Diceros bicornis minor: one gene and its partners. The protein of the gene in region 1 purifies or fractionates together with the protein of each later gene. This does not show direct contact. Links are inferred from orthologs where the notes say so. Each region holds a gene or a part of one and is shown on either strand. Other genes may lie near its edges.

What was found.
Region 2: the proteins of TSR1 (region 1) and RPS7 purify together in Homo sapiens (co-immunoprecipitation; 4 studies listed by BioGRID and IntAct, with this or other methods). This does not show direct contact. The link is inferred for Diceros bicornis minor from reciprocal best matches to the Homo sapiens genes TSR1 and RPS7.
Region 3: the proteins of TSR1 (region 1) and RIOK2 fractionate together in Homo sapiens (co-fractionation; 3 studies listed by BioGRID and IntAct, with this or other methods). This does not show direct contact. The link is inferred for Diceros bicornis minor from reciprocal best matches to the Homo sapiens genes TSR1 and RIOK2.
Region 4: the proteins of TSR1 (region 1) and LTV1 purify together in Homo sapiens (co-immunoprecipitation; 4 studies listed by BioGRID and IntAct, counting the BioPlex papers as one, with this or other methods). This does not show direct contact. The link is inferred for Diceros bicornis minor from reciprocal best matches to the Homo sapiens genes TSR1 and LTV1.

The regions. Positions count from the first base shown.
Region 1 is NC_080757.1:15,535,071-15,542,694, reverse strand, and holds the start of TSR1 (pre-rRNA-processing protein TSR1 homolog), read right to left. Parts: upstream 3,219-7,624; 5' UTR 3,204-3,218; coding exon 3,107-3,203; intron 2,914-3,106; coding exon 2,810-2,913; intron 2,506-2,809; coding exon 2,286-2,505; intron 2,173-2,285; coding exon 2,038-2,172; intron 1,643-2,037; coding exon 1,218-1,642; intron 440-1,217; coding exon 280-439; intron 1-279. Other genes in the region: SGSM2 (small G protein signaling modulator 2), read left to right, coding at 4,531-4,587. UniProt on the Homo sapiens protein: Required during maturation of the 40S ribosomal subunit in the nucleolus.
Region 2 is NC_080751.1:75,267,315-75,274,877, reverse strand, and holds the start of RPS7 (small ribosomal subunit protein eS7), read left to right. Parts: upstream 1-4,394; 5' UTR 4,395-4,480; intron 4,481-4,734; 5' UTR 4,735-4,743; coding exon 4,744-4,818; intron 4,819-5,062; coding exon 5,063-5,134; intron 5,135-5,887; coding exon 5,888-6,031; intron 6,032-6,865; coding exon 6,866-6,930; intron 6,931-7,563.
Region 3 is NC_080740.1:22,746,278-22,754,057, reverse strand, and holds the start of RIOK2 (serine/threonine-protein kinase RIO2), read left to right. Parts: upstream 1-4,677; 5' UTR 4,678-4,760; coding exon 4,761-4,826; intron 4,827-7,780. UniProt on the Homo sapiens protein: Serine/threonine-protein kinase involved in the final steps of cytoplasmic maturation of the 40S ribosomal subunit. Involved in export of the 40S pre-ribosome particles (pre-40S) from the nucleus to the cytoplasm.
Region 4 is NC_080778.1:23,096,159-23,104,570, reverse strand, and holds the start of LTV1 (protein LTV1 homolog), read right to left. Parts: upstream 3,235-8,412; 5' UTR 3,091-3,234; coding exon 3,088-3,090; intron 2,075-3,087; coding exon 1,943-2,074; intron 800-1,942; coding exon 629-799; intron 1-628. UniProt on the Homo sapiens protein: Essential for ribosome biogenesis.

The DNA of each region.
Region 1 (7,624 bases):
GCCGCGTCCCACATACAGCAACTAGAAGGATGTGCAGCTATGACATACAACTATCTACTGGGGCTTTGGGGGAAAAAATAAATAAATAAATAAATAAATAAATAACAAACTTCACTTCATGCTGTATGTTGCTTAACGCAAACATACAGCATTTGGGGCTAACAGACTTCCAAATATATCTTCATCTCCCTCTTCCTTATAGGGTCCTGACTGTGAGGAGCTAGACAAAATCTATAATTCCAGGCCAGATGAATTACAAACAACTTTGTCAATACCAACCATTTGCCTCATTCAGCTCCTCCTCAGTGGGCCAGGTCTGTTCCCCTTCCATTGGATCTGGGATAACCTCTGTTTGCAAAGATTCTTGTCTATCAGGGTCTGCCTTCATTAGGACCTTAAGGTCTTCCTCCATATCAGCTACAGCATCCATAGCACAAATCTGATAACCAAAAGCAGGTGATGGTCAGTCAAACATTAACCAAAAATCTACTAATTCTAACATAGTAACCAGAAAGATCCAGAAATAACATAGTCCTCAAGTAGAAGATGAATGAACTAGAATGAAACAGAAAGCCAAACCTGTCAAAATTTTTCAAATAGTTCTATTTCCTAGCATTTGAAATCTATATCTCTGCTTCGTTCTTGAGGCCTTTCATAATCTGGTCCCACTCCTACCAGTTTATTACCTATCTTACTCCCATGAAGCTGATTTCTTCAGAGTTCAAAGAAACCCTCTGATCCATCACTGTGTCTAGGTTCACATTGTCTCTATCTTCTAGGATAGTCTTTCATCGCCAACTCATAAATCACATGCACCCTTACCAAGACCTGGCTCAAGTCTGATCTCTCCTGTGAAGCTTGCTTGTCTACTTTCTCAACTTCCACAGCAGGTCTGTTCCTCAAATACACTTTCTTATTCTTTATTCCACAGGTGTTTGCCATTTTTTTCAGACCTAAGTAAGTTGTCTGAGGGAAGAGACTGCATCTTGTGTCTTCTATAAACTCAGAGCCAATTGCTGTGCAAGGCACCTACAAAATGCTGGATAAATATGTGATATATCAACATATTTGTAGACTACTGCCTTCAAACTAGCAGTCACCTCCAGGGACTAGTAGTAGTCTAGGTATGCAGACTACTGTCTCCTCAAGTTAGTTCACATCCTGCACCAGCTTACACACTTATCTACAATTCACAATCTTTAAGACATCAATCTTACCTCCATTGCCATGCCTGGGTCCTTCTGAGATTTGATCACTCTAGGATTTAAAGGGAAAGGGTCCATAGGGGCATCTATCTGTTTCATCTGGAAATCACCATGTCCAACGATATGCAGCAAACTATTTACATTCAGAGTCTGCCCACGAACATAGCCTGAGATTTTCAAGGTGCCCACCAAGTTATTCTCTTCACCAGGCACAAAGTCAGCAGCATGAGCAAGCAGGTAGGCCCGCCGATCTCGAAAGGCAAGATGCCGTTGCTTTTGGTTAGCCAACTGCCTGAGCAGCATTCCTGCCTCCTGTTGAGTGTCTAACAGGAGGAGTTTGTCATCAGGAAAGCGCTTCTCCACTGCTTTACTTAACTTCTTTCTAGCATCTATTTGTTTCTTCGGTGGGAGGCCAGAAACCCCCTGGACAGCAAGTGCTGTAAACAAAAGAGAAAGGGCTTCTTGACCTGCTGCTTCACTATGTGAAAATGCCCCCTGCAGTTCACAAACAAGCTAACAGTTCAGTTGTGAGGCCAGAGATCACTGGGAAAACCAACGGTCAGCTACCCTAAAGAAATTTCACAGTAAAACCAAACTTCATATTCTTCTTCCTCTGGGCAAAGGCCAGCCCAGAAATAAAAAGGCACCTCAGTAGGTAATATGTAAATAATGGACCAAGTTTAAGCCTACATGTACAATCCACCATCGGCTGAATACAATCCACCCGTTGTATTCCTGTATCAAGTGACAGACAGTGCCTGGCAAACTACAGGTGCACAATAAACACTAATTAACTTCCTTTCCTGGCCTCCAATACTCCCAACTCACTTACTATAGGTGGGAAGGCCTTGAGCAAAGAGGCAGGAAAGACAGTAATCCCCAGTGCTGTCCCAGCCTTCCAGTGGATCAAGGAGGAACAGGATGGTATCAGCTACTTTAGCCATGTCTAACACAGTGTGCAGATCCCCTGGAGAAAGAAGACAAAGTCAGTAGGAAGAGGTGGTTGGCAACAGCACATTATACTCAAAAAATAATACTACTTAAAACATAATGATAGAAAATATTGTTGCACGCTCCAACCTGGCCTTGCAGATGTGAAAAACCACCGATGTTTCAAGCGGGGGCATAACAGCATAAAGCCATGGGTGCTTCCCCATTTATTCAGGTGTACTGTTCCAGACTCGCTATCCTGAAGCAGCCGAAAGGCCTCTGTCAGAGAAATCCTGTTGTGCAGGGGCACCACCAGTACCTGATGAGGTGAGCCATCCTTGCTGCCCAGCTGTCTCTTCTCTGCCAGAACCTGGGAGTACAAAGGATTAGAGAACATCTCAATGTTTCAGTATTACGTTCCAGCATCGCATTTCCAACGGTACGGATGCTCCTCCCAGCCAGCATCTCTCTTGTAAAAGGCGATATGCATGTCAGGGGGGTCGGACCAAGGCAAAGAATGCTCTAGCGCGAGTCTAGACTTGCACGCCTGACATACGCTCTAGGATTAGTCTCCATCCCAAGCCCCTTTCCGGGGCCACACTTTCTAGTTCGAGGCATTAACCGCCTAGAACGGTTGTGAAGCCACACCATCCCCCAATCCCCGCTCCTCTCACCGCCTCCTTCTTCTGTTTTCGGAGCTGGCTGGCGCGATGCCTCTGATCTACTCTGCTGAGCTCTTTTTTCACCTTCTTGCTTAGGGTTTTCAGCGCTAGACGGCCTGGAGGGGAGATCAGAAAGGGCTCTTGTGCTGGGCCTCAGAGGAAGATCAAGAAAGAGGAGGCCAGTCCGCCCACCTTAGAAAGAGCTTTAGCGCAGGGTGCAGGCCGGAGGTAGGAGCTCAGTCTGGACATGAGGAAAAAGCAGTTAATATCGACTAAACAGCCCTCCTTCCTCCAACCCTAGCTTCTCACCTTTGCCGTCCCGCTGCGCAGATCCCCGACCCCGGTGCCGCCCGCCTTTATGCGGTTTATTCTGCTGTTTAAGCGGGCCGGAGCGATGGGCCGCCATACTGCCGCTCACGTGTACCAAGTCAGCACTACTTCCGGGCCGGATCGAGGGCTTCCGGTCTCCTCCTTGGGGGCGGACCCTCCCCGGGGTGGGGCGGGGCTCCCGCGCCCTCTCGCGAGGATACTTACCAGCTACGTCTGAGAGCGCAGCGCCTGCGACTCCGCAGAACCGAGGTGTAAACTTTTCCACGCGGCAGTATTTGGTGGGGGCGCTTTAAAACGCCCACTGTAGACTCGAGGTTCGGGCTCTCGCTGCCGGAGGGCTGTTTTGCTCCCCTGCATATTCATTTTTTGCGCTATCAAGTTGCATCACTTAGGAAGATGTTGAATGGAAGATTCTCCATTCGTGCAGAAGAGGGCTAAGCCCGTCCTCTCTCCTAGATTTGTGCACGCAGTCCTCAGTTTGCAGCAGCAGGTGTTCTCTATCACTTTGAGCAACCTTTCCTTCAATTCTCCTGTGAGGCTGCCGAGGTCTACAAGGCGAATCGTGTGGAAGGCGCTTCTCTCCCCTTCACGCCCTCCGTTACGAGTTCCCGCTGGTCCCGTTCGCGCCCCTACCTCCCACATAGCAAGAAGGGCCGGACCCGACGTGGCGAACCCTAGGTGGGCGGGAGGGCTGGCCGTGATACTCGAGCCCTCAGGGCCAGCAGAACCTCTTCCCACCAGCTTTGCAACTGAGGGCGACCAGCTGGCAGGGGTACTTAGAGGAACGATGGAGTTCCGGCTTTTCTCAGCCAGGGGACTAACGCTGGCTTCCCGTTGGCCAGACTCGAGATGCAGAGGGCCCCGGCCCTTCCCGTCGGGAAAACGAGCAGGTGGAAATCAGGGGGCGTCTAGCTGGATTGAGGCCAGCTCCGGCGCGAGCGACTTTCCCCTCGGCCGCGGCGTCCAGGGCGCTCCCAGCCCCACCCAGCGCCGAGCAGGGCTGCTGCTGGCGCTCACAATGCGAGTTCGCGCCCTCGGGCCGGGAGCGGGCGCGTTGCCATGACAGCAGCCCGCGTGGCGTGCGCCCGGGGACCCGCCGCCCCCAGGCGCGCGCAGCCTCCCCCCGCCCCGATCCCCCCCGTGGCTGAGCGCACCCCCCCTAACCCCCGCCCCCGGCTGTGGGAAGGGGCCGGGCCAGCCGCCTGACGTCTGTGCGGGGCTCGGAAAATGGCTGCGGAGCCGAGCACCGGGCAGTGGCTGCGGCGGCGGCGGCGGGCGGGGAGCGCGGCGGGCGGGGGCTCCGCCTTGCGCGTGGCGCGCTGAGCCGAGAGGCGCGGAGGCGGCGAGGGCGCGCGGGGGGCTTAGGGGCCGCTCGGCGCCGCCTCGCCGCCACCCGCCGCACCATGGGCAGCGCAGAGGACGCAGTCAAAGAGAAACTGCTCTGGAACGTGAAAAAGGAGGTAAAGTCCGGGCAAGGACCCCCTGGGGCTCGCGTCCCGGGGCGCGCGGCCCAGGAGACGGAAAGCTCTGCGCCCACCTCCGGGCGCGGGCGCTCGTGGGCCCCCGGGCGGGGGCGGGGTCCTGGACTGGCTGCGGCCCCCGCCCTCCCTCGGATCAGGGGGCAGCCAGCTCCCCTCGGCCGGCGGGGCTAGGCCGACGCTCCGAGGCTTGTTTGCTCCGCGATCCCGCAGCTCCCCGCCCTGCGACGGCAGCAGCGCTGGGAGACCGAGGTCGGGGGAGGGGTGGCGGCGATTTCTAGAGAACCAGGGCTGCCCATTCATTGTCCGCGCCGCTTGGGGAGGGGGCGGGGCCCTCGCTGGCGTCCTGCGGTGCTAAACGAGTGATTTGGGGGTTTAGCTTTCATTTGCCCTACACTCCCCCCGCCTCCGGTATTCTTCTGGGAACTGAGTCCCGGCTGCGGGAGGGTTCGCTGGACACCTTACTGCTTCTCCCTCCACGCCCACTTCTCTACCCAGACACCAGGGGTTTTTTGAGAATGGCTTTCAAGACGCAGATTTTTTTTCCCCTTTTGAGTGAGGACCCCCTAATGTCAGAGAAAAAGAGTGCCCTCTACTAGTGTCTTTTACCTTGACCCTATCTTAAAGCCTATTTCAGTTTCATTGGAGGGGGTGCCCATATGAATGACTCACCCCCATATGAGAGCTGGAGAGCTCAAACCGGAAGAGTGAATTAGAATAGATTAGGCCTTTGGAGCCACGAACTCCCTCCCCGCCCCCCCCCCCCCACATCTCTGTGGCTGTCATCCTCCAGATGTGGAAACTCGATGAAGGCAGGAAACCCATCTGTTTTGTCCACTACTCTCTATCCAGTGCCTGGCACACAGTAGGCACTCAATGACTATGGTAAATAAATCTGCTGATCTTGGGGACTGCGAAGTCTGGTGGGAATGCATAAACTTTGGAGTAGTCTGGACCTAGCTCTGTGACCTTGAATAAGTTGCTTAATCCCTCTGAGTCTTGATTTCTTCATCTCTAAAATATCTATCTCATATATAAAAGTTTACCATATTGATTCCTTTACCCCTTCCTAGAGTTTCAGGATTAGAGAAGACTCTGGGTTCTCGTAAAATCCTGGAAGGCTCTAGATGGTTCTCCTGCCTTGACTGTGGCCTGGCTACTGTGCCCTAATATTTGTTCTTTTCTCTCTTGTTGGCAAGAAGTGGTTGAAGCCATCACCTTTCCTGCTGTGTGAGAAGCTCCATGTGCTTTTGCTGTGAAACAGCCAAGAAAGAGTTTTTTAGGCCAGGAGTATATCGAATCAACATTTAAACCCAACCCTGGTCTCCCCATGGAAAAGAAAAATCTCAAATCTCAAAGCACAGGGATTATCCTCAGGAAACAAGCAGTCTAGTGACAGACTTATATGAACAGTATAAACAAGAACGAAGAAGTAAGCATACCCCAACAGTGCTAGGATTGTTGATGTGATCCAAATTTGGGGTTGGTCAAGGATGATAGGAAAGATTGAGATGACAATGATTCTTTTTTCAGTACTTAGAAGGCTATCTGGGGCCGGCTCCGTGGCTTGGCGGTTAAGTGCGCGCGCTCTGATGCCGGCGGCCCGGGTTCGGATCCCGGGCGTGCCCCAAGGCACCACTTCTCCGTCCAACCCGAGGCCGAGTCCCACGTACAGCAACTAGAAGGATGTGAACCTATGACATGCAACTATCTACTGGGGCTTTGGGGGGAAAAAAATGAATAAATAAAATCTTTAAAAAAAAAAGAAGGCTATCTGTATTACTCTAAGAATGATTCCTAAACAAATATGAGAAATGTCCAGAGTATGCCACAGCTATGTATGCTACCTGACAAAGGTTGACTTGCTCTGAACTCTTAGTTCCCTTCCCCTTTCAGCACTTGATTTAGAGAGAAACATATCCTTTCCTCTCCAACAAGTAGAAACAGTGGGAGTAGTTGTAGGCAAGGCTGGCCTTTCACAAAGGACCTCTGGTATAATTCTAGAGGCACCCATAGGTTCTCCTGACCCCAAAATCTGCCCCACTAGCCTGCTTCAGATGCCTATAGGTCTTTGAGCTGTGACGTTATGCTCTGTTTAATGCAAACACCCCTTGGGAAGTAATCTAGGAAGCTTTTAACAGTTTAGAGTGCAGGATCGATCTGATCCGCTTTTACCTAACCACTAACCATGAGCCGTTTCCAGCAGGGAGGAGCCTCCTGGTCCTTCCTTCTTCCTCCCCAGCCTTTAGAAACTTTACCGTCCTCCAAACTACAGTCCTACGTGAGGGCCTTGGGAGCAAGGGCAGCATCAGGGCACTGCATGCCTTGTCCAAAGAATGGCAAAGACAAGCTCTGCCCCGAGGTTACTTTATCTGTAAGATTTTACACTGGTATTGAGGTAATCCATCCCTCTAATCTCCAGTATTAGTATCTGTCTCTTGGCAGCTTCCCCCAGGACATCAAAAGTGCTTGGCTTAAGTGTTGGTAGCAACTAGAACCTCACACACTGCTAATGAGAGTGTAAATTGGTACCACTTTGGAGAGCAGTTTGGCAAAACCTAGTAAATAGACTATATGCATCAGAAATTCCTTGTCTAGAAGTATAAATCCAAAGAAATGGGCACCTGTGTTCACCAAAAGACATGTCCAGAATGTTCATAGCAGCACTATTCATAAGAGCTTCAAATTGGAAACTACCCAAATGCTGAAAGGAAACAGGACAGGGTTGGGGGTACTTTGGGGTGCTGGTCACATATTGTGTTTCTTCATCTGGATGCTGGTTTCACAGGCATGTTCAGTTTGTGAAAATTCATCTAACTGTATAATTATGATATACACTCTTTCTATATGTTTACATCAGTAAAAAGTTTTGTTTTTAAAAAGTGCTTTCTTAAAGAAAGATGTGACTGTTCACCTTACAAGGTATTTGGAAGCTTGTACATCCAGGTAGGAACCCAAAACATCAGGGTTTTACCTAGACAGGAAGAAGGCTGGGCTTGCGAGCATATAGAGAGTGTCC
Region 2 (7,563 bases), on another chromosome or scaffold:
GGTTGGTAAGCAGTTTTCAATCTGGGAAGACTTAGAATTAAGTATAGCAATGTTTATGAGAATTAGACCCATTGTACGGATATGGTTCAGTTAAGAGAAATAGTGCATATTTTGTTTTTTATATACCCATAACGTAGGGGACAATGTGGCCTGTTTAGAGTGACAGCCTAGTAGCAGTTATTTGAAATGCATATGTGAGTAACAGATTTAGACTAATTTTTTAGGTGAAGCCTAGTTATTTCTGTATTGGAATGTCTAAAGAAAGCTTTAGGATCCTTAACACATGTTTAGCTTATTGGATTTATAAGAAGTTGTTAGTTTTCATTAAAGTTTTGTTAAATCAGTTTCTTAAAATACTAAAAAAAAAAAAAAATGCTTGAAGTGATGCAGCTGCTGACTCTGTTCCCTCAGAAAAAGGAGGAACAACCTACACGCTGGGCACCGATTCTATCCCTCAGCCCCGTGTCGCTCATCAGCTGCACTCAGGCCTGACATGGGCAGGCTGCCTCGCCCTCTGCTCACAGCCTCTAGGTCTGCCCGGTCCATGTCCTGGGGCCCTCGATTCTCCCTCACCGCCCTCATCCAGGTGGCCCACCCAGCAGCACTCTTGGGGAGAGGGAGAGATGACAAAGTACACCTTTCACATTTGGGTTTGCAGCTGGATTTCCTAAGACGGCCATTTTTCATCGTGTGCTTCAGCTACCTGCACCGCTGAAGGCTTTCCTGACCTTCCCGGGCAGCAGGCGTGTGTTGCTGTAGTGTGCCTATCCTCCCTGAGCCAAGGCTCCCCACTACAGTACAGCAAATGCAGCCTAAGGCTAGTAGGAAGAAGGGCACCATTACGTTGCATCAATGACTGATCCCTGAAGTCAAACAGGGCCCTGAGCATAGGGAAAAATGGCTGGGCTGTCATTAAGCCTGTGCACATACTTTACTCGGAAGAGTAGGCATGGAGTTACCTCCTGCCCTGTTAATCTGGATGAGCAACCTAGTGCAAGTACATATGATATTGATGTAGCAAGCATGGGTCACCTCATCTCCCTTAGGTACCCTTTGGTTATTTCCATCTGCAGAGTTTACAACACAATGGACTGAGGTACTTGTTAGAAGTTGATATATTGACAGTAATGCCAATTTAATAATCAACTGTAAGGTAGATTCAGGTTATCAATGCTAAATGAGCTAGTGAAGGCACTGCTGTATTACAGCATAGCAAAGACTCTGGTCATAATAACTCTCAGCCCTCCTGAATAAACAAATCTGAACTGTATTTGTTAGGCAGAGTCCTAAGCAAAATTTGACTCCAGTGTCTCCAATCTTCCCTTTTTACTATATTTCTTTTCTCTTGTTGAAAAACCTCTCTCCTCTAGGCACTGAGTGACTTTCCTCTGACCTCTGGAAAGTCAAATCTTCCTAAAGAAGGATGCTTGGCTGCCCTCCCTAAGACTCCACCCCCTGCAATGCCAAAATTTTTTCTTGTATTTCATTTATTAGGCCTCTGTTCTTCCTGCTAAGCTAATAGGGGATATATACTTTCTGTTTCCAGGTAATACTTTCATTTTAACAGGAACTGGAAATAAAGTATCGACTTGAAGGTTCCCTGTGAAACCTAATTAAAAAACAGTTGTGAACATTAAAAGGATATTAAGGGAACACTATGAACAACTCTAGCTGCATACATTCAACAACTTAAATGAAATGGACCAAAAACTAAAAGTATAAACTACCAAATCTCACCCAATGTGAAATGGATAATTTGAATAGCCTTGTAACTATTAAAGAAATTGAACTCGTAATATTAAAAACTCCTGAAAAAAGAACTCTCCAGGCCCTGATGATATCATGGCAGAATTCAAACAAATGCTTGAAGAATTAACATCAATTCTGCACAATCTTTTCCAGGAAAAAGAAGATGAAAAAACACTCCCAACTCATTTTATGATGCTGGTATTAACGTGCTATCAAAACCAGACAAAACTAGTACAAAAAGAAAACTATAGACCAATGTGCCTCACGAACACAAAAAAAATCCACGACAAAACATTAGTTAATGGCACCCATCAATATGAAAAAGAATTGTAATTCATGACCAAGTGGGGTTTGTTCCAGAGATTCAAGGCTAGCTCAATATTTGAAAATCAATTAATGTAGTCCACCATATTAACATGCTAAGGAAAACAACTTACATGATCATATTAATTGATGCATAAAAAGTATTTGACATCACCCACTCAGGATAAAAACTCTCAGAACAGGGATAGAGGGTGTCGATGCAAATAATCCATAAAAAATCCATAAATCAAAATTGGGGCGAGTTTATTCTGAGCCAACTCTAAGGACCATATAGCCCAGGAGAGTTCTTCCACAAAGGAACGGAGCACTCCAAAGTGGGGTGTACAGAGTGGTTATATACCATCGAAGAGCATGCATCACATATGACTGGAATGTCCCTTTTACAATAGTCACGAGACTGCTTTGCCAGCACAGCAATTTGATGAACACAGCAGGTCAGTGGTTGCAAGGTGGGTGGTCACAAGATGAGCACAGCAGGTCAGCAATTAATCCTTAGTTTAAGGAGAGATGCTTGTCCTTACGGAAATGCCAATGTGGGGGAAGTTACATCCTTATCTTAACGGCATTGTTCTTGTCTTTGGGACATAGTAAATACTTACAGCAGATATAAAATGCATGCTCAACGGCCACGTCAGGCCATTTTGGAAAAAGAAGTTTGGGCCAAATTAGTTTTACACCAAATGGCTTCCTCATATACTCCAACATCCTATTGCCAGTCATTTATTTATCAAGGGGAACTTCCTCAATTTGATAAAGAACATCTACAAAAAACCTATAGTTAACATCATACTTTCTGGTGAAAGAACACTTTCCCATTAAGATGGGGAACAAGGCAAGGATGTCCACTCTCACTACTCATATTCAACAAAGTACTGGAAACCAGAAAGGACTTTACTGAATGCATCCTTAGACTGCCACTTTGGTACAGTGGCAGAAAGCCAGGTTGAAAAGCAAGAACAAGAGTAAGCAAATGGAAATTCTTCAAGGGGGTTCAGAATGATCACCCAGTTGAGTTTACAAATGCAGCTGTTCTTTACTGTTCTTTCTTGAACAAGCTTCAAGTTGATTCTTCATTTTCCAAGGAGACAGTTGCGTTTACATTAGAAGAGACTATCTAGCTGAAAATATCTGAGATGCAGTCTTAGCTTAGTGAAGGTGGTTGGAAATCCTAGAGATCATCTGGTGTACTGTTTTCAGGATTTTTCACAGTGCCTGGCCCACAGCAGATAAATGTCACATGTGACACACAAGGAAACTGAAGCTCAAGTAGATTAAACTACCTGACCACAGCCAGATAATCTGTTCCCTACGTGGGATGCTCCTTCCCTGGCGATTAGCTCCCACATCTCTGGTTAATTCCATCTCTTCCAAAGACGTCCCTGACTTCCTAAAGCGTGGACCTTGCCCCCACGCCCCCACTCATTTTACTGGCACATGTTCTTCCAGTTTGCACCATATGTCTAGTCTACTCCTTATGCGATGTCCTCCTCACCACGCCCTGAGGGCACGGATCCAGTCGGTTGCCTAACAGCCGGCACCCAGCGCAGTGTTAGCAGAGTACCGGCACCACGTTACTTGTGAATGAAGTTTCCAGCTCCTCTCCAGGGCAGGGCCTCCTTTACATGAATTTGAAGAGACAGAGGGCAGGACGCAGGCACTTTCCCATAGAGGCGTCTTTGAGTTGAGTACTTGTGATCCACTGCAGACCCACCTGCCAGCCCGACTCTCACCACAGGCATCCCGCAGGTGGGACTGCCCGCTCGGCCCCGCCCCCCTCCGCTCTCCCCGAAGGGCCGCACCGGCCCCTCCAGCCCTTGTCCACGCGGGCAGTGGTCCCCAGCGGGCCGCGCCGAGCCCCAGGACAGCGGTCTTGGAGGACCCGTCCTCCGCGCCAGCAATCCCCCCGAGAGCCCGGAGTCCGCGGCCCACGACCGGCGGGCGTTGACTAGTAACGCCCCCGGCTTCCAGAGGCCCTGACAAGCAGCGTCCACAGGCGGAGCTGGAATCCTGGTCTCTGATTCCTTCCACTGCCTCAGCGGGAAGTGAGCGTCCCCGGGTTAAGTCAGCCTTTTCCAGACGTCCTAGCTTAGCGGAGAGCCCAAGTTCCTTTCTTGGGCCCAGGGCTCCCGCCCAGACCCCGGTACAACTGCCTGGCTCCCGCCTCGAACCTCGGTAGCCGGCCCATAAATTCCCGCGAACAGCACCGGAAACGAGACGCCTACGGCGGAAAAGCGTAACCGACGGAATGGTCCCCCGGAGCCTCTTCCTGGGACTCTCTAGGTTTCTACCGTTTCTCAATGGTACTTCCGGTTTCTCCCTGCGCTGTTCCCGCCTCTTCCCTTCCGCCGCCGGGATTTGACGGGCTCTCGCGAGACCTAGGCCTCTTCCCGGGCCGGCGCTCATCAAGGTAGGTGTGCGGCTTGTTGTCTGTCGGCACTTTTCTGCCGACTTTGAGGAAAGCACGCTTTGGAGTCAGCCGTGGAGCGGCGGGCCCTGATCGGCGGGCGAGGATACGGCCGATTACGCGGCCCGTGCCCCCCGATGGCTTCGGGGCGGGCCGGGGCGGGGGCCGGGGCCGGGTTCCCAGGCGGGCGGGCGGTGGCGGTGGTCTGCGCCCGGGTCGCGGAGCCCCGCCCAGCCTAGAGCGCGCTGTGCTTGCAGCAGAAGGCCATGTTCAGTTCGAGCGCGAAGATCGTGAAGCCCAATGGCGAGAAGCCGGACGAGTTCGAGTCCGGCATCTCCCAGGTGAGGGGAGGGGCGGGCTGGGCCCCCGTCGCGTGCCCCCCGGTCGCGTGTCCCCGGCTGCCTGTCCGCCTGTCGCGTGTCCCCCGGTCGCGTGTCCCTGTCCGCCTGTGGCGTGTCTCCTGTCGCGTGTCCCCTGTCGCGTCCCCCGCCGCCTGTCGCGGCCGCGGGTGTCGGGGCCCGGGGTGACCGCACGTGGGTGGCCGCGTGGGCCGGGCGCTGAGGCGGCTCTGCTCCTGTGCTGCAGGCGCTCCTGGAGCTGGAGATGAACTCGGACCTCAAGGCCCAGCTGCGGGAGCTCAACATCACGGCAGCCAAGGTGACCCGAGTCCGGTCGGCGGGAGCGCGGCGGGGGTCCCGACGGCCCCGAGCCGCTGGGCCGTGCGGCGGGTGGGGGCGTGTCCGCGTGCGGGGCCTGGGGGCCCGGGCGGCGGGGCCGGCGGTGCAGAGGGGCCGGTGGCTGTAGTCTCACTGCCCCTGGAGTAGGACGTGGCAGAGAGACGGGAAATTCTCTGAGGCCTGCTCTCGCCATTAACTTGCAACAAGCATGCGTTACAAGTTAGCTCTGGAGGTTAGACTTGGCTCCTAATTTGACCGCAGCGGGTACTGTTTACTGTCGAGGCCGTCGTCCTGCCTCGGTGTATCTGTTTAGCGCGCAGGTTACCGAAATTAGTTGTTAATATCACGTCTTGGCTGTAGAAGGTACAGCGTGCCTGGAAAGTCAGAGCTTGCGAAAAGATCTGTGCAGGGGACAGCCAGCCTCATCTTTGGTAGCAGACGACTTAGATTTACTTCCTGGGGTAGAAGGTTACCCGTGCGTGCTGGTTGTCAACTAGTTCACGAGCTGCAACTTGCGCGCGTCGGATTCGCGAGGCGTGAGCAGGACTGACGGTGAGGCTGTGGTACCGGCAGCGAGAGATGAGCTGGAAAGGGGTTTAAGAAAGGAGCGCCCACGATGCGCGTGTCGCAGTGATGACGGTGCTCGCGGTGAATGTCACCACTTGATGTTGTACCTGGGGGAAGAATGGAGGTTATGAAGTTAAAATAGTGTCGTTTTTTTTTTTTCCTTTAGGAAATTGAAGTTGGTGGTGGTCGGAAGGCTATTATAATCTTTGTTCCTGTTCCTCAACTGAAATCTTTCCAGAAAATCCAAGTCCGGCTAGTACGTGAATTGGAGAAAAAGTTCAGTGGGAAGCACGTTGTCTTCATTGCTCAGGTAGCTGTTGTTGAATGTTTTATTTTGTGAATTTGTTAAAATCACTTGTGTTTAGACTTTGTGTTGATGGGCGGAATAATTAAAATAACCTTTTTGTGAATACAGAGAAGCTACTTCAGTAGGGTGCTGGGAGAGTTGTGCTTGCAATGGGTGGAAAAGATAAAGTACACTTTTGCTAGTAGTACTAAAATGGTTTTCACGTTTGCAATGCCATAAATGTAGTGGGTTGCTTACAGAGGTGATCAGACAAACTGAGGTGTGTGGTTACTCTGAGCCGTGATTTTTCTGCCTGATAGAATTGCCTGTCTGAGGCTCTCACTGCTCAGGTGAGTCAGATGTAGACTTTGGGAGGAAAACAGTTGCTAAAGAATGGTTGGTAAGAAAAAGGGCAAATAGTCAAGAAAGGTTTTTTTAAAGTTCAGATCTGGCCTTGCTGCCAACAGAAGTCTATGGGAATTGAGAGGCAGACTGATGAGGAATTAAAGGAATTGTATTCTGGCTCAGTAACCATATTAGTACCTGTGTTGGGTAGTGGGCCTGATTAAATGTGGAAAGGTACGTAATATTTGGGAGATAAGTCAAATCATGAAGTAACTGATTTTTTCCAGTACTATTTTAATAGAAGCTATGATTCTAAGCGAATTATTGAGAAATCAGGAAGCACTTCATTGGATTTCTCAATAACTTGTTTAATCTTGGTTGTTTGGTTTTCTTGAACTTTGAATTTATTCTTAATAAGTCTTTGCTTTTAAAGCAGTTTGACAGTTCTTAGCTTTCTGCCAACTTAAAGTCCTTTTTATTTTTTATTTTGTTGCATGATAATTTTTACCTTAGAGGAGAATTCTGCCTAAGCCAACTCGAAAAAGCCGTACAAAAAATAAGCAAAAGCGTCCCAGGAGGTGAGTATTGTATCAGCATCAAAATGTCTGTGCTAGTCTTACTAACAGCTCTTGATTTATGTGGGTTGTTTATAGTAAGAGTTGCAGTAGGTGTCTAAAATAAATACTGGTAGTTTCAGAAAACCGTTAACATGGGGAGTTTTGTAGAGTAACTTTTGGTATACTCTGTAATTATATGTAGAATGTTTTCAACTTAACTCACATAGGTAGTATAGTAGGTCACTGCTGTCATAAAAGGTACGACTCTTGCCTCCAGTTCTTGGGGCAAAGAATAGGAGCAGCGAGAAGGAAGCGTTAGTTTAGTGCTGTGGATAAAGCACACCAGACACAGTGGAGGTGGGCTGGGATGTATCTGCTTTCTTTTTGCTGTGAAATAAGGTTAAAAAAGGACGGATTTTCTGTTGCTGGTGTCACTGCAGCCTTAGGTGCTGATGGACGCTGTTCTGTGAAACTGACTGACTCACAGCCTGTCGGGTGTGAACTCAGATGTTGATGGTTGGCGCCTTGATCTGGGCCTTCTGGTAGTTGTTCAAGTCTCTGGTTACACAGACTTGGATTATTGGATTCCTGCAGACCCTGCCCTAGGAACCAGTTTGAGAAAAAATGTTCTAGTATCTCTAACTGGCAGATAGC
Region 3 (7,780 bases), on another chromosome or scaffold:
GAACAGGTAGCAGCCACAGCTTATCTTTCAGTTGAACTCTGGCTGTGTCCCTTGGTGGAAATATTCCCCTTTGAAAACCAAAACTTCCAAACTCTCAGAGCCCAGAGTTGCTGAGATGGAAATTTCATAAGTGGATTATTGAGAATGACAGTAGGTGGAGCCGATACTATTTCCACTCCTTGATTCTTGGACCTATGTATTCTACCTCTTGGGGACCACATAAAAGTTATCAATCTCTTAGAGGATGGCAACCCAAAATCACAGGGTATCACCTCTGAGCTGACACTTCAGCAGTGCCTCTAACAGGCTGTTCCTTCAATAGACTTTCCCGTCATTCCATCAAACCAGCAGTTTCTGAATGGTGTCGTATGTGATATGAGCAGGGATCCCATGGTCATATGCATACTGTTGTATCTCCTTTGAAGTAAAGTGCAGTCCCATGCTGTTAGAGCAAATATTCTGTAAGCCTCACAATCCTGGTGCAAGCTGAGGCCCTGCAGACAGGAAAAGCAAGTCCATGTCCACGTATACTACTATCAATACGAATCTCTGGCTCTGGCTCTTGTATGGTAGAAGAGGCCCAATGTAGTCAATTTGACACCAACTGACTGATTAGTCTCTTCAAGGGATGGCATCACACTGGGAACTCAGCATTGCTGTCTGCTGAAGGCGGACTGAGTGTTCAGGAACAGCAGTAGCTCTTGTAGCATTGGTAATTTGGATCCCATGTTGTCAGGCCCATGCATGTCCTCCTCCATCCCTGCTACCATAACTAATTCATTTGTGTACCAATTGTGCCTTCATTAGGGTGGCAGATTGCAATGACAAAGGCTGACTATCACCCAGACAGGGTTTTAGTCTACCTGGTTGTTTAGTGCCTTTTCTATGTTAGATGATTTCCAGTGGGTATTAATATGCAATCCAAAGATTCTCATACTTCTTGTCCACTCTCATATACCCATTCTCATGCCTCTATCTCAGAATTCCTTGTCCCTAATATAACCATTTTTCTTCTTCCAGGCCCTTGAGCAACCAACCAAGCTATTCACCCCTGCCCCTGAATCCATGTATATTCTAACGTTGGGCTATTTCTCTTGCTACACAAAGTGGAGGACCAGGTGCACCTCCCAAGGCTCTGCCCATTGGAAGGATATTCTCTGATCACTTCTCTTTCAAGGCCACCCAAGTGGGGCAAGAGTTCAACCACAATTTCAAACTGACTCACCCATGAACCAAATGTGGGCTTTTTTTTCCTTTACTAGCTGATCATAAGAGATCAACCATGGAGGTATGAGCTGAGGAAGAGGCATCTGGACAACAGTAGTGCATGACATGGAGTCTAGGCTACATACTCACGCAACTTGTTGTGCCCTCTGGTCCTGCTTGTGTTCAATCCTGAAGGCACCACTTTCACCTTATGATGGATTGTTGCTGAACTTGCTCAACTTTATATAAGATGGTTGATCCAACAGAAACCAGTTCATTAAGGCCAGTTGTGGCTACAATATCACCTGTACCTCAATGTCAGGCACTTTAGCTCTCTTGGGGCTCTGTAGCACGCCAGGAGCTGTTTTTTTAAAAGGCATTTCATTCTCTGTTGCATATTCTGCCATGTTCCAGAACTCTACAAGTTTGCATCGTGAGTCTCTCATCAGAATTTGCCATAAATTCCACACAACCATATATTCCATACTATGTCTTTTCTCACTGCTGATATCTCTAATACTCAAATGTATGGCACTATAGCCTATGCACAGTAAAGCCTATTATAATTTTTCTGAGTTTTAGCTAGTATAATACCTTAAACATAAATAGATCATTTTTCTTTTCCTTGACTCAATTTTTTTATTCAATCTCGTTCAAATTTTTCCATAATTAATCTAATTTATGGACTACTGGAGGTTAAAAAGTGGACAGAATCATTAAAGATAAAGGGCTACAGAAGATTAGAGGAGGGAGAGCTTACTTTCCTTTGGGATTGTAATAGGTTGAATAATGCCCCCCCGCCACAAAAGATATCCATGGAACCTATGAATTTACTCTATAGGGCAAAACAAAAAAAAAGATTTTGCAGATGTGATTAAGGATCTCATTGAGCCCTAAACACAATTACATGTATTTCTGTAAGAATGAGACAGAGGGAGAAACACACAAAAGTGAGGAAGGCAATGTGACTACAGAGGCAGAGAATGAACTGACACACCAACAAGCCAAGAAATCCCAGCAGTCACCAAATGCTGGCAGAAACTGGAAGAGGCAAGAAACAGCTTCTCCCTTACAGCCTCCGGAGGGAGCATGGTTCAGAACTGTAAAAGAATAAACTTCTATTGTTTTAAGCCAACAAGTTTGTGGTAATTTGTTACAGCAGCCCTAGGAAACTAATACAAGGATAACAAAGACAAGCTTTGTGGGGTACATAGGATTTGAAGAATGGTAGGTAGGATTTACATATACGGTGATTGGAAAGAAGAAAAATGAAAAGGGGGAGGGAAGGCGAGCATTATAGATGAAGGGAAAAGGCAGTGAGACAGAAAATCAAGTGAGCTGTACAAGGAAAAAACAAAGTAGTTCAATTACACAAGAGTATATACTACTTGAGAACAAGTAATAATACAGATTATTGAAGATCTTGAATGCCAGCCTAAGTTTGAACTTTAATCTGTAGACAGTCAAGATCCTTCACAGCTTGTGAGGACAAGCTGTATGTTTGTGTGTGTGTGTGTGTATTTGCATGTGTGTGAAGGGAGTGAGGGTCTGGGAGGAGAAAATAATAATGTGATAAATCTTTTGCATAACTCTGTCATAATATTCTCTAATGTTTTATTCATTTCTTCCTACCACAAGGCTCAAGAGGTGGGATTGAGTTTCACCAGGACCAAGCAAAAATTCTGGGGTATATGTTTGATAAACGGCAAATGAGAGAATGAAGAATATTGTGCATTTTTGTTTTAGTCATTAGTAAGCATGGTATAATAGAGTAGAACAGAATACTGAATAGTACTTGCATCCCTTTTACTCTTCAAGGGTCTATGATGATTTTATTAAAATATATATATATACTAATATTGAAAGTATAAGAGATTTGGGCTCAGTGTGATTAACCCCAGGGAATACTCCAGAACCAGGACAGCAATTCTAGCCAAACCCAATCAATTAGTGTGGTTGTCTGGAACACAGTTGAGAAGTAAAGTTTGTGCCATAATAGATTAGCAATGTCTGCTAAAGCGTTGGATTAGGAGTAGACACCCAAATGACTTGTTTCCATCCCATTCTTGCTCCAGAAGTTAGTCATTTGGTTTCCTTAAAAATTTTTCATTTTTATGTCTTCTTATGTGAAGGACAGAAAGAAAAATTCCATTTCCATGGAGGTTCCATTAGCTGAGCATGGTTAATCAAAGATTTACTGCATTCATGTTAAAAAGAAGCCAAAGGTTATAGTGTAGAGGGGATAAAGTGGTGTTCTGCTTTCTGTCTTCTATGATTTCAGAGTACTAACTATTCTGGCTGGAAAGACATGGCAGATTCAACTGCCTGCCTTCTAACTCCAGTACACATTTTATGCAAGGGCTAGCTCTGTATTTGAACCAACATACAGAGTAGGGCTTGGAAAGAAGGAAATTAGTACATCAATCAGTGGAACCCCAAAAAGAAAACAAAACAACAAAAAAAAATGGAACTCTGTAAATACTGAAGTCCAAAGTTTGCACTGAAAGTTTTGAGACTGGACCCAGACAGAGGCTAAACAGCCGTGGTTGGAAAGGAGGTCAAGGCTGGAGTGGACCACAATCTTCTGTGACCACATGCAGCAGCCACACCTAACGTGAGGGATGTACCAAAATAATTGCCTTTTAAAGGTTTAAAATACAGTTCATGAAGCAAGATATAAACGCAAACCTGTATTATCATACAAGTTTTCCTATCCTTGTTGCTGTTGTAGGGAAGGTATGGTAGAGTACCCGCCCTCTTTGTCGGGGTGCTAGGGTCCTTCTCCGATTAAAATTTTTGTGGATGTAGAGAAGAGTTCCGGGGCCAGTGTGGGTAGCCTCCTAAAGCCCTTAAATCGCTCCTGGGCGATATCAAACCCGCGTAGGTCCACTCCGAACCATCAAAACGCCCACTGTCTTCGGAAATGCCCGGGAGAAGCAACGACGACAGCTCCACCCTCCACACGTCACCCTAAACCCCACCCCCAGGAGGCGCAGGCGCACTCCGGAGTCTCCAGGACCAACTTAAAGACGTACTGAGCAGGCGCAGTAAGAAGAGTGGTTGCTTGTGTGACTGCTATTGTTTTTATCTTTAACGGCCTTGGTTGTCTGGAGTCGCGCTCAGGTTCCTTTTCCCTCTCTCGTTGGAGCTCACGTTGCCTAAAGTAGGAGTTGCTGTTTGGGAATAAAACTTGATAAAAGTTACCACTTAGAGGAAGGTCGCGTCCTTTAGGCAGCCCGTCCTGACAGATTATGAAAAATGAAACGGCATATTGTAGCGAACACTTACAGTCCGCCAAGTCCGTCACATGACAAAAGCACTTTACAAAAAAATACCTTGCCTTGTTCCATGCTTTATGCTTCTTATAACCCAGAAGACGTTTTAGTTTCCCGTGCCAGAGAATAGTACTTGTGTTTATTAACAAGGACCTGTAGTGAGGAGCAGCGCATGCGCGAGCACCCGCGGCTGCGAGACACGTGAGAGCCCCGGGCCCGGCTTGCTCTGCGCTCTCGGGTTGTTGTGGAAGAGGCTTCTGGGCTGGGTCTGGGGCCGCCATGGGGAAGGTGAATGTGGCCAAGTTGCGTTACATGAGTCGGGATGACTTCAGGGTCCTGACCGCGGTAAGAAGTTCGCCGTTTCCCCCTCTCCCCTGTCCTTTCCCTGTCCTCTTCCTGGTTCTCGAAGTTTGCCGGCAGCCGAGCGCGCTCCGGACCCGGGATGCAGCCGGCCGCGGCTGGGAAGGAGGAAAAGACCGGAGAGTCGGATTATTCAGAAGCCTTTGTTCAGAAGCTTCTGTCTTCCCCCAGATGGAGCAAAGGCCCCTCTTCTAATCGTTTCCTTCCTTTTGCCCCCCTTCTCCTTATGCTCCAGAGCCGCCTCGCATCTCTGTGGCCTGAGAAGCTCTCTGACCCCGGGCTGAGGAGGGTTAAGGCTCCCGAGGAGAATTGGTGGCATTGAGTTCCCCGCTCACAGGCTCAGTCACATAGCGTTCCTACAGTTTCATTCAATCAACACATTGTCCGATTTTTAGTAACAATGTTAGGGAATTCAGCGGGGTCCAAGACAGGCAAGGGGGGGGAGACATTATCAACAAGTAAACGAATAGATTAAGAAGAAGGATCATATCAGGCAGTGAGTACTATGGAGATGGTAAAGAGGAAAAGAAGCGGATAAGGGGTTAGAAACGACGTGCATGGTGGGGGCGGGGACATGAATGCTCTCTTTAAATTGTGTGGTCAGAGAAGATTGGCTGAGTGCAGGAGTCTTGTCTGTTGACCGTTGTAACCAAAGTTTTGAGGCCTTTTTAAAAAGTTCCTGGCACTTAGTAAGCACTGAATAAATTTTTGCTAAGTAAACGAAAGAATGGGGGGAGAATAATAGGAGGTAAATGAGAAGGAGCCCGCACACTGAAATCCTTGGAAAGAGTTGGTGGCAGAGGAAACAGCAGTAGTAAATGCAAAGGCCCTGAGGCAGGAAAAACTTTTTGGAGAATGGAAAGCCCAGTGTGGCTGGAGTTTAATAAGCAAGAGGCTCAGTGGTTGGAGATGTAACTGGAAAAGGTGAGAGCCAGATCATGTGCTATATACAGCCTTGAACTTTGGTAAAGAATTTGGAATATATTCTAAGCATAAGGGAGCCACTAGGTGTTTTTATGCAGGAAAGTGACAAAAACTGATCTTATAGTCTTAGTCTTATGGAACGAAGGTCAACACATAGATTAGGCATTTGTAGAATAAAACAAATTTATTTAGGAGCTATTATCTTTTCCTTAAATAGGCGATACTTAAGGATTAAACTATCAAATGCAAACTCGGTGTGCAATTTGGAAGACACTTTTCTTTCTCCTCACAGATTCAATTCAGCTAGACTTTTTCTAAATACCTACTGTTACTTCTGAAAGATACCTTCCTTTGCTGCTTCCTCAGCATATTTGCTCATTCCGTAATGCCTTTGACAGAACTAGAGGAGTCAAGAGAAAGAACGTTAGAGGCTGCAAGAGACAGAACAAAGCATGGAAGATGAGTGAAGTTTAAAGTGGGAGGTTTTGGTTGGGGCATCAAAATGATGCCAGATTCATCTTCCAAAACTTTGTCTCTGCAATATTTCAGTTCTTTTTTGAAACTCACCAAGGAATGACCTACTCATTAAATATGGTATTTCAGGCTTAGTGGAGTCTCACCAGCCTTGGTATCAGTGGCCACCTTTCCTTGACCCGCTCCTCCCTTTACTTATCTGATGCCTCCCATATCAGTAATCATACTTGGACTGACTGCCCTTACCTTTCTATGTGAACTTCCCCCCAAATTCTCTCCCTCAACCCTCCTTTTTCTTCCGTTATTTCTTGCTTGATGATCGCATCCACTTCTCGGCTTCATCTCTTACCTCTTTCACATAATCGACCATTTTCTCCTTCTAATTATGACTTCATTCCTGAGTATAGATCTCCCTTTCCAGTTTTCCTCAAACATCTTCATTTGAAGGACCTTCCAACTCCTCAAACTCAGTGTCCTCAAATCAAGTTCATTGACTGTATCTACCCCCTTTTACCAAACTCCATTAAAATAATAATATACATAACATGTAATGTAATAAATATACATATATTATTATGATAATTGTGTATTATTATTTATTATGATTTTAAAACCTGCTCTTCCTCTTCACTTCAGTTTTGACTCTTCATTCACTTTACCCTCCCATATCCAATGCCTATCCCTCCCATACTACTTCCTAAAGATCTTTTAATTACTTTTACCAGTACCTCTTCCCTGTTCTGGCTTCTGTTTCCTCTGGCCTGGACTGTCGTTTGCTTCTCTAGTACACCGCCTCCAGTTTTTGCCTTCTCTAAACCACTTTGCATATTCCTGCTAGATTAACGTCCTTAAAACAAACTCTGGGCGCCGGCCCCGTGGCTTAGCGGGTGGGTGCACGCGCTCCGCTGCTGGCGACCCGGGTTCCAATCCCAGGCGTGCACTGATGCACCACTTGTCCAGCCACGCTGAGGCGGCGTCCCACGTACAGCAACTAGAAGGATGTGCAGCTATGGCATACAACTCTCTATTAGGGCTTTGGGGGGTAAAAAAAAAGGAGGAGGATTGGCAATAGATGTTAGCTCAGGGCTGGTCTTCCTCAGCAAAAAGAGGAAGATTAGCATGGATGTTAGCTTAGGGCTGATCTTCCTCACAAAAAAAAAAAATCTGTTCATCTATCTCCCTTCCTAAACATCTTCAAGCGTTTCATACTTTCCTTAGTATAAAATCTAAAACTCCTTGGTCTATATTTCAAGGCCTTCCATATCTTACTCAAAAGCGTTTTCCGGCCTTCTTTTCGTGAACTGTGTGCCAGCCCATCTGAGCTACCGCTGTACTGGCTGTTCCTGTGCTCTGTACTTTCTTGCATGTGTGCCATGTGCACATCTCTTTTTTTTTTTTTCTTTCCCTGGTATTTCCTTGTCTGCTTTTTCTATATTCCTGCATCTCTTGAAGTTGGTCTCAAGTGCTACTTCTTCCTTAAGACTGATCCCTCAGCTAGAAATATTCTTGTTCTGTTCTGGGCCACCTCTTTTTTAGCACTT
Region 4 (8,412 bases), on another chromosome or scaffold:
ATAAAACTAAATAAAAGATAACAAAAGCATGCAACATGGGCATCCTTAACATAAACAAGGGGAAAAACTGAACCTAAATTAGTAGCACTAATTTCATATAAATATGTACTCTCATTTGTATTTAAAAGATAAAGTACTAAACTGGACTGCATTTTTGTTGAAAAGAGTAACAGGAACTTCATTACAATCTATTGCCTCTATTCTCTCTTACGGTTAGCCTATAGTTTTTTACAAGTGCGAAAGATCTGAACGTTCCATGAGAGTTAAGTTCTATCTTAGAACACAGTTTATGATGCTGTAACACTTAAGTTGTTAACATACAGAACGTCAGCTGGTTTTCTTCTATTAAAGGTGCTAACATGCCCATGTCTATCAATCAAAAGTTCTAACTCTGTCAAAGGCTGTTACTTTTGACAGCTGCCACCAGAGAACAGGTGGGCTACTCTGTCCTCAAAGTCCACATGTGCACACACACATACACAATTTTAAGTGAGGGCACGGCTTGTCTTTGTGCTCTTCAGACTGACACCACTTCTTGCCCCAAACAGTTATCTTGATTTAAAAATGGTGGTTTCTTCACTCACCCCCACACTCTCTCTCTCACACTTAAATTGCTGAAAAGTCTTACGGAAATTACTGAAGTGTCTTCTTCGTCTCTCCTGTTGCGTGCACTGGAGGCACTTGTAGGAATCAGCTCTGAGGGCCCAGACGGTTCCTTCAGATGCTGCAGGTAGTCGTAGTCATCATCAAAGAACACGCCGTACTTCCTCTGTTCTGCTCGCCTTTCCTCATCATTTATCTAGCGTAACAAACAAAATGGAGTTAGCACCTCTTCCAAGGGTAAGGCATAGGAACCTTCCAATGAGCACAGCTTTCAGACTAGGAGGCAGATGGCACACGAACACTTTGGCTGAAAGAAATGAGACAAAGAATTCTGGACAAACTCAGGAAACACAAAGCTTCTAAAAGCGAGTGCCATATAAAATTAAAATGGAATGAAAACAATCCTCCTTCCACTAGACAGTTCTGTGCAACAATTCAAGCTAAGAAACACACACACTCTTTGTTTTATCATGAAATTGGGGGGTTAGAAGACTAGAGGGCCTTGAAATGTAAGTACAATTTCTTATAATTATATGCCAAGAAGCTTCTCAACATACACCACAAACTGGCTTTACTGAAAAGCTAAATAGCCCAATGTTTCCCAACACTGCCCTTCACATTACCCAAACTTAACAAGTATACTCTAGGGCTGGCCCTGGGCCGTAGCGGTTATGTGCATGCGCTCCGTTACTGGCAGCCCGGGTTCAGATCCCGGGGGTGCACCGATGTGCCACTTGTCAAGCCATGCTGTGGCGGCGTCCCATATAAAGTGGAGGAAGATGGGCACAGATGTTAGCCCACGGCCACTCTTCCTCAGCAAAAAGAGAAGGATTGGCATGGATGTTAGCTGGTCTTCCTCACAAGAAAAAAAAACAAACAAGTATACTCTGACTGATAATTACAAAATCAACTTTTTAAAGGCTCCCCGGCATTTTCTAAAGCTAACTCACGAGTTTCGATGTTGTACATTTCAGGAAATGGGCGACCAGGAGGCAAAGTGCAGTTTGTGGTTACGAAATGGCAGGATCTTAGGGAAAGCAGAGACTGAACACATTTGTGCCCTAAATAACACCATGCAGCATTATAGCTGATGGTCTAGTAAATATTTACCATTACTTTATAAGATTTGTTCATTTAAACATCTCAAATAAAGATGTTTTATCCTCTAAACCAAAATAAAAATGCATCCTGTAAAAATCAGCAAGTTTACTGAAAATTAAGTCATAGATTTGCTTCCCGGAAGATCACAGGTATCTGAGAAGAGCAGCTGGCTAACATAATTTATTAAAAATCACCAACAGTCCACCTACAGACTTTTTGGCTAAAACACAGGCCTTACTTTCTGTGTCGGCAACAGAACCCTCTGAGGTGCAGTCTCATCCGCCGCTAAAGGATCACGTTGGCTCCGGTGCACCAGGTGAAAAGACACAGCTTTCTTCTTTTCTATGAAGGGCTTTTTCTTTCTGTGAGGCTTCAAAGGAACAGAATCAGAACAAGCCATTAAAACAAAACAAAACAGTGAACAGTATCATAGTCCAAATAGGTGTCTTCAATAAGTAAAGGATCAACAGATTTTTTAAAACTTCACTTCTAGAGCAGACAACATCACCTATGTTCTACAAAAACTATACTTACCTTCCTTCCACAAACATTTGTGGGCACCTACTCTGTGCCAGACCTTGTTACGGGTGCTGGGAATACAGCGATGGGAAAGTCAGACCAAGTCCCCATTCTTAGCAAGCAAATGGTCAAGAAAATGATTTCAGATAAAGAGAAAAACACAAAGCAGTGACGTGCAAATGACTTAGGAGCTACTTTAGACTGGGTGCTCAGAGCAGGGTCCCTGACAGGTTGAACCAGAATGACAAGGAGGCTGCCACAAGAAAATCTGGGGACGACAGGTCCAAGCAGGGTACGCACTTCAAGTACCAACTGCCAAATGAAGCCAAGACACAAGAGCTAAAGCTCGGTAAGATTCGTCAGCCCCGTCTACGTTCTTATTTCGCTACGCAATGCTGCTCTCCTAAACTGAGAAAGCATCGTCCCAGCGGAGGAAGCCATCTTGCTTTGGGACCAACCTGAGACTCTCCCCCAAGTTTCCTTTCCCCGGAGCAAAGGAACGGGCAGACACCTGTCACTCCCAGGTCTGGAGAGACCATTAACTCCCTCTCCACCCGACCCAATGAAGCACAGGGGGCGTGTCTGTGTCCCATGTCACAGGTTGTCAGGCCCCTCGAGGAAAGGGGAGGCCATCCTCTTCTGCCCACTACCCAGGGAGGCTTGTCCGTGGGAGACCCACTCTGAACCGCAGTCCTCCCGGGGTGCGAGGGTGACCCACACGGGGAGACTGTGCCGCAGGCCGCCCCCCGCGCCCCCGGACAGCCCCCCCAGGCCCAGGCGGCAGAGGCCAGCGGCGCCGGCGGAACCAGCATGGCCTCTGCCAAACCCGAGCGCCCCGCCCCCGCGACAACGACACTTGCTCACCATGCTGCAGCCGCACGGCGCTCACCCCACAGAAGGGCCACCACTGCACCCTCCGAGTCCCCGGAGAGGCCACATGCACGTCCCGGACGCCGCCGACACCCAGCTCGCAGCCCCCTCTCTTCAGGCCTCTCCACACGTGCAACCCCGGAAGCCTGACCGGAAGTCCCGCAGCGGGCCGCGGAAATGGACCAATCGCCGAAGAGCCGGGGCGTCGCGGCCGGAAGTTACGCATCGCTCGCTCCGTGGCGACGATCGCGAGAAGCTATGAGGAGGTGGGGCCGTTCCTACCCCCGGGGGGCGGGGCTTTCTCGGCCGGAATTCAGTTCGCGCGGGAAGGGAGTCGCCGACGCCGTGGTGGCGGTGAGGGCGCAAGGCGGCTGCTGTTTAAGCGCGAGCTGGCTTTTCTGGCGCCCTCTACCGGTTACACAGGGGACGAATCTAGCAGCCCCGTGGACATGTGTGTTCACTGCGCGTTCCCCACCGTGGAAAACAAAACAAACCCGTGTTCACGGAAGGAAGGTGGCCGCCCCCCGGGGACCGAGGTTTCAGGTTCCCTCTCCGCTGGCCGGCGTCCAGTCGGTTGCCTTAGCAACGGAGGATCGCGGCCTCGCTACTCCGGGCTGCCCCGGGCTGAGTCCGGCCTTGCTTTTCCATCGTTTAATGGACCGCGTTCAAAGGTCCAGTTAGCAAAACCCCCGCGACTCTGTTGACAGCAGAGGCATTTGAACTAATCACATAGGCGATCTCTTTGGTGTTTGCATACCTTATAAGGGGGGAACTACTGTTTATTCCCTTCCAGGTCGTTCCTCAAGTGTGTTAACCTGCTTTAAGCAAACAGGCTATAAGCATCCCTTCTTAGGAAGGTTTCGGGCAGGTGCTGGGGCCCTCTCATAGCTTTTCCCTGGGCGCGAGAAGGTGGGAATGCCTTCCAAGTGTTATCAGCCGACCTTTTCTCAAATTCGTGTTTCCCCCTCCCCATTTCTGGTGTCTTGCCAACGTCTGAGTTATCTTGGATTGTATCTTTAGGTCCCACCTATTACCACTATAAATATTTATGGAAAATTATTCTTTTACTATGATAAAAATTATAGAAACAATTTAAACTAGGGCCAGAGAACTTGTCTTGGGATCGTGCTTTGTAACAGAGGTAATACATAACACAACACTGCTATGTGCCAGACATTCATTATAATTAAGCTCCGGGAGGGTAGGTTTTGTTTCGTTTTGATCTCTTTTATTTACTATTGTGTCTTTGCTCAGGGCCTAGAATAGTGCCTGGCACCTATACCCAATAAATGTTTGTTTACATGAATTAATGTTCTGGCACTTTACCTGAATTATCTCGTATCTTCCTTACCGTTAACACTATGAGACAGGTGCTATTATCTTCTACTATCTTACAAATTCTAAACTGAGGCGTAGGAAAGTTAAGTAGCTTTCTCAAGGTGACACAGCCAGTACATGGCCGAGCAGGGATTTTAAACTGGAGTCTGACTAGAGCCTGACAACTTAACCACATTACTTGCTTTTTTTTCTTTTGAGTAATAGTCTGTTACTTTATATATTTACTGGGCTAATGCTAACACTAAACACACTGTGCTACCCAATTTATGTGCATTATATCATTGAATTCCTTCGATAAGCCTGTAAAGTACACTTAGATAACACCAAGCTCATCTTATAGAAGGAGAGCTTGAGGTTCAGAGAACTGAAGTGACTTGCCTAAAGTCACACAGTAAATGGAAGAGCTTAAATATGTAGCCCATCAGTCTAGTTAGGAAGGCCACACCTTTAACCATATGCTAGACTATCTTGGGAAGGCAGCCAGCCAGCAAATTCTGTCCATTCTGTCTTCTAAATATCCAAATGTATCACCTCATTACCCCTTTTATCAAATTTATCATTTTTAATACTCTAGTCCAATCATGTCATTTTTCTGTATAAAACCTTTCAGTGTCTACCCTCCAGCCTCAGCATAAAGTCCACTCTTTTGCATGGCAGCCAAGACTTTATATTATCTGGTTTCTACCCATCAATTTAGCATCATGTCCCCTTAATCCCTGACATACCACTCTATGACCCAGCTCTATCAAACTGTTTGTGGTTCCCAAATACACCTAAAAGAGATTGGCTTTCTCATGCCCAGCTAAAAGGCTCTTCCTCTCTGCTCCCTGTTCTTCAAATGTTAGCTTAGCCATTTCTGCCTCTAGGAAGTCTTACAGTCTTCAAAATTAGGGTCCATTCCACATGTGTTCACTGTATCCTATGATTATACTGTTCTACCACTTACCCTAAAATTATAACCCCTTATTATTTTTGTTACCGCACAAAGGGCACGATCTGCTCACTGTGAGACAAAAGACAATCATCAAGAGGCAAGATGGTGGCAGAGAAAGGGTAGTTTATTACAGCTTGCTAGCAAGGAGAAAGAGGGCCGACTAATGTCTCAAAGAACTATCTTACAGAACAAAGACTACAGGCCAGTTATATAGAGGGCTGGTCTCCAAGTGGGGAGGCATCTGGTCCCAGGGTGGGGCCTCAGGAGTCATCATGTTCCTGAGGAACTCAAAAGAACAAAGTTATCAACTTATAGAGGCTAGGAGGGGCCATGAAATTCAGAGTAAGTCAGAGGTCATTCTAAGTTACAATATGGTGTCTTTTCTACAGTATGGCTTCCCTTATGTCAACCTTATATTGAATCGGTATCATTTTCACCTGTCTTTATAGAACCAGACTGCAGTAACCCACTCGAGGGCAAGGGTTTTTGTCACACCAGCTTTACCTCCCCAGGGCATAGCATAGTTAGGACTTAATAATAATTGCACTGTTCAAATCAAAGCACTTTACATATATTTACTCATTAAATTTTTACAAAAGGATTTAAGGAGATATACTATTATCTTTTTTTTTTTCTTTCTTTACATTAGAGTTTGAGGAACAAAAAGTAAGTGACTTTTGCCTAAGGGCACGAAGCCATAAGTGATGAAGCCAAAATGCAAACCCAGGTGCAGCTTGAGAGTCACACCCTTAACCATTACAATGTACCCTATTTCAAAAAGCCAATACATGTGCTGAGCTTCCATGTGTCAGAGACTGTTCTGGGTGCAGTATATATATTAGCTCATTTAATATTTGTTGAATAAAATATCTAGCACAATGCATTCATTGAAACAGTACATATACAAAACGCTGGCTTGTTCTAACACAGAAAAATGTTATTTCCTATCATTAAAATCACCCATAATTGAAATATTATATTAATGATAATAAATCCAAACCATACTTCTCTTACCCCGTTATTAGTATGCTCTGAATAATGGCATCCATTTCAAAATGATTAAACAGAATTTCTGGTTTAGTCTAGGCTTTGGAAAAATTCTTATTTTTCCATATGAAATTAACTTGCCTGCTGAAATTGTGTTTATCAACTTAGCCCCATTTACATCACATTCAGCAGTGGTTTTCCATCAGCATAACCCAAGGATCCCCAAGCACTAGGAAACTAATGTACACAAAGTGGGGAGAACTTGCTTGAGTATAGCCAAACTACCTAGACACTCAAGCAGTAACTTTAGAAATTATAAATTACATGCTTGATAATATTAACAGAGCCTATGGAGGTACTTAACTTATAAAAAGGGAAGTGCATCAAGATGGATGTACCATATTCAATGCCATTCCTATCAAAATTTCAATGGCATTTTTCACAGAACTAGAAAAAATAATTCTAAAATTTGTACGGAACCACAAAAAATCCCAAATAGCCAAAGCAATCTTAAGAAAGAAGAACAAAGCTGGAGATATCATGCTCCCTGATTTCAAACTATACTACAAAAGTATAGTAATCAAAACAGTATGGCATTGGCATAAAAACAGACACACAGATCAATGGAACAGAATAGAGAGCCCAGAAATAAACACACACATATACAGACAATTAATTTATGACAAAGGAGCCAAGAACATACAATGGGGAAAGGGCAGTCTCTTTAATAAATGGTGTTGGGAAAACTGGACAGCCACATGTGAAAGAATTAAAATAGGCCACTACCTTTCACCATACAGAAAAATTAACTCAAAATAGATTAAAGACTTGAATGTAAGGCCTGAAACATAAAATTCCTAGAAAACATAAAGGGTAAGCTGCTTGACGTCAGTCTTAGCAATGTTTTCTTTGATCTGACTCCAAAGGCAAGGGAAACAAAAGCCAAAATGAACAATGGGGATTACATTGAACTAAAAAGCTTCTGCAAAGGGAAGGAAACCATCATCAAAACAAAAAGGCAACCTACTTTGGGAATGGGAGAAGATATTTGCAAATCATAAATCCAACAGGGGATTAATATCCAAAATATATAAAGAACTCACACAACTCAACAAAAAAAAACAAACACCTCAATTAAAAAATGGTCAGAGGATCTGAATAGACATTTTTCCAAAGACATACAAATGGCACATGAAAAATTTTGAACATCACTAATTATCATAAAAATGCAAATCCAAACCACAGTGAGATACCACCTCTGTTATCACACGTGTTAGAATGTGTATTATCAAAAAGAGAAAAAATAATAAGTGTTGGAGAGGATATGGAGAAAAAGGAACCCTCATACACTGTTGGTGGGAATGTAAACTGGTGCAGCCACTATGGAAGACAGTATGGAGATCCCTCAAAAAATTAAGATTAGAAGTAGCATATGATCCAGCTATTCCACTTCTAGGTATTTATCCAAAGAACACAAAAACACTAATTTGAAAAAATATGTGAACCCCTATGTTCATTGCAGCATTCTTTACAATAGCCAAGATATGGCAACAACATATGTGTCCATCAATGGATGAATGGATAACGAAGATGTGGAATACTACCCAGCCATAAAAAAGAAGAAAATCTTGCCATTTATGACAACATGGATGGAACTTGAGAGTATTATGCTAAGTGAAAAAAGTCAGACAAAGTCAAATACCATATGATCTCACTTATATGTGGAATCTAAAAAACAAAACAACAGAACAAACAAAACAAAACAAAACAAAAACAAACTCATAGATACAGAGAACAGATTGGTGGTTACCAGAGGGCAAGGGGGTTGGAGGGAAGGTGAAAGGGGTGAAGGGGATCAATTGTATGGTGATAGATGGTAACTAAACCTAAGGTGGTGATCACTTTGTAGTGTATACAAGGATTGAATTATAATACTGTATGCCAGAAAGCTATGTAATGTTAAATACCAATTTTATCTCAACAACAGCAAAAAAAGATGTATGTACCAGGATGTTCACTGTAGCACTATTTGTAATAGAGAAAAATAAAAGAACTAAAAT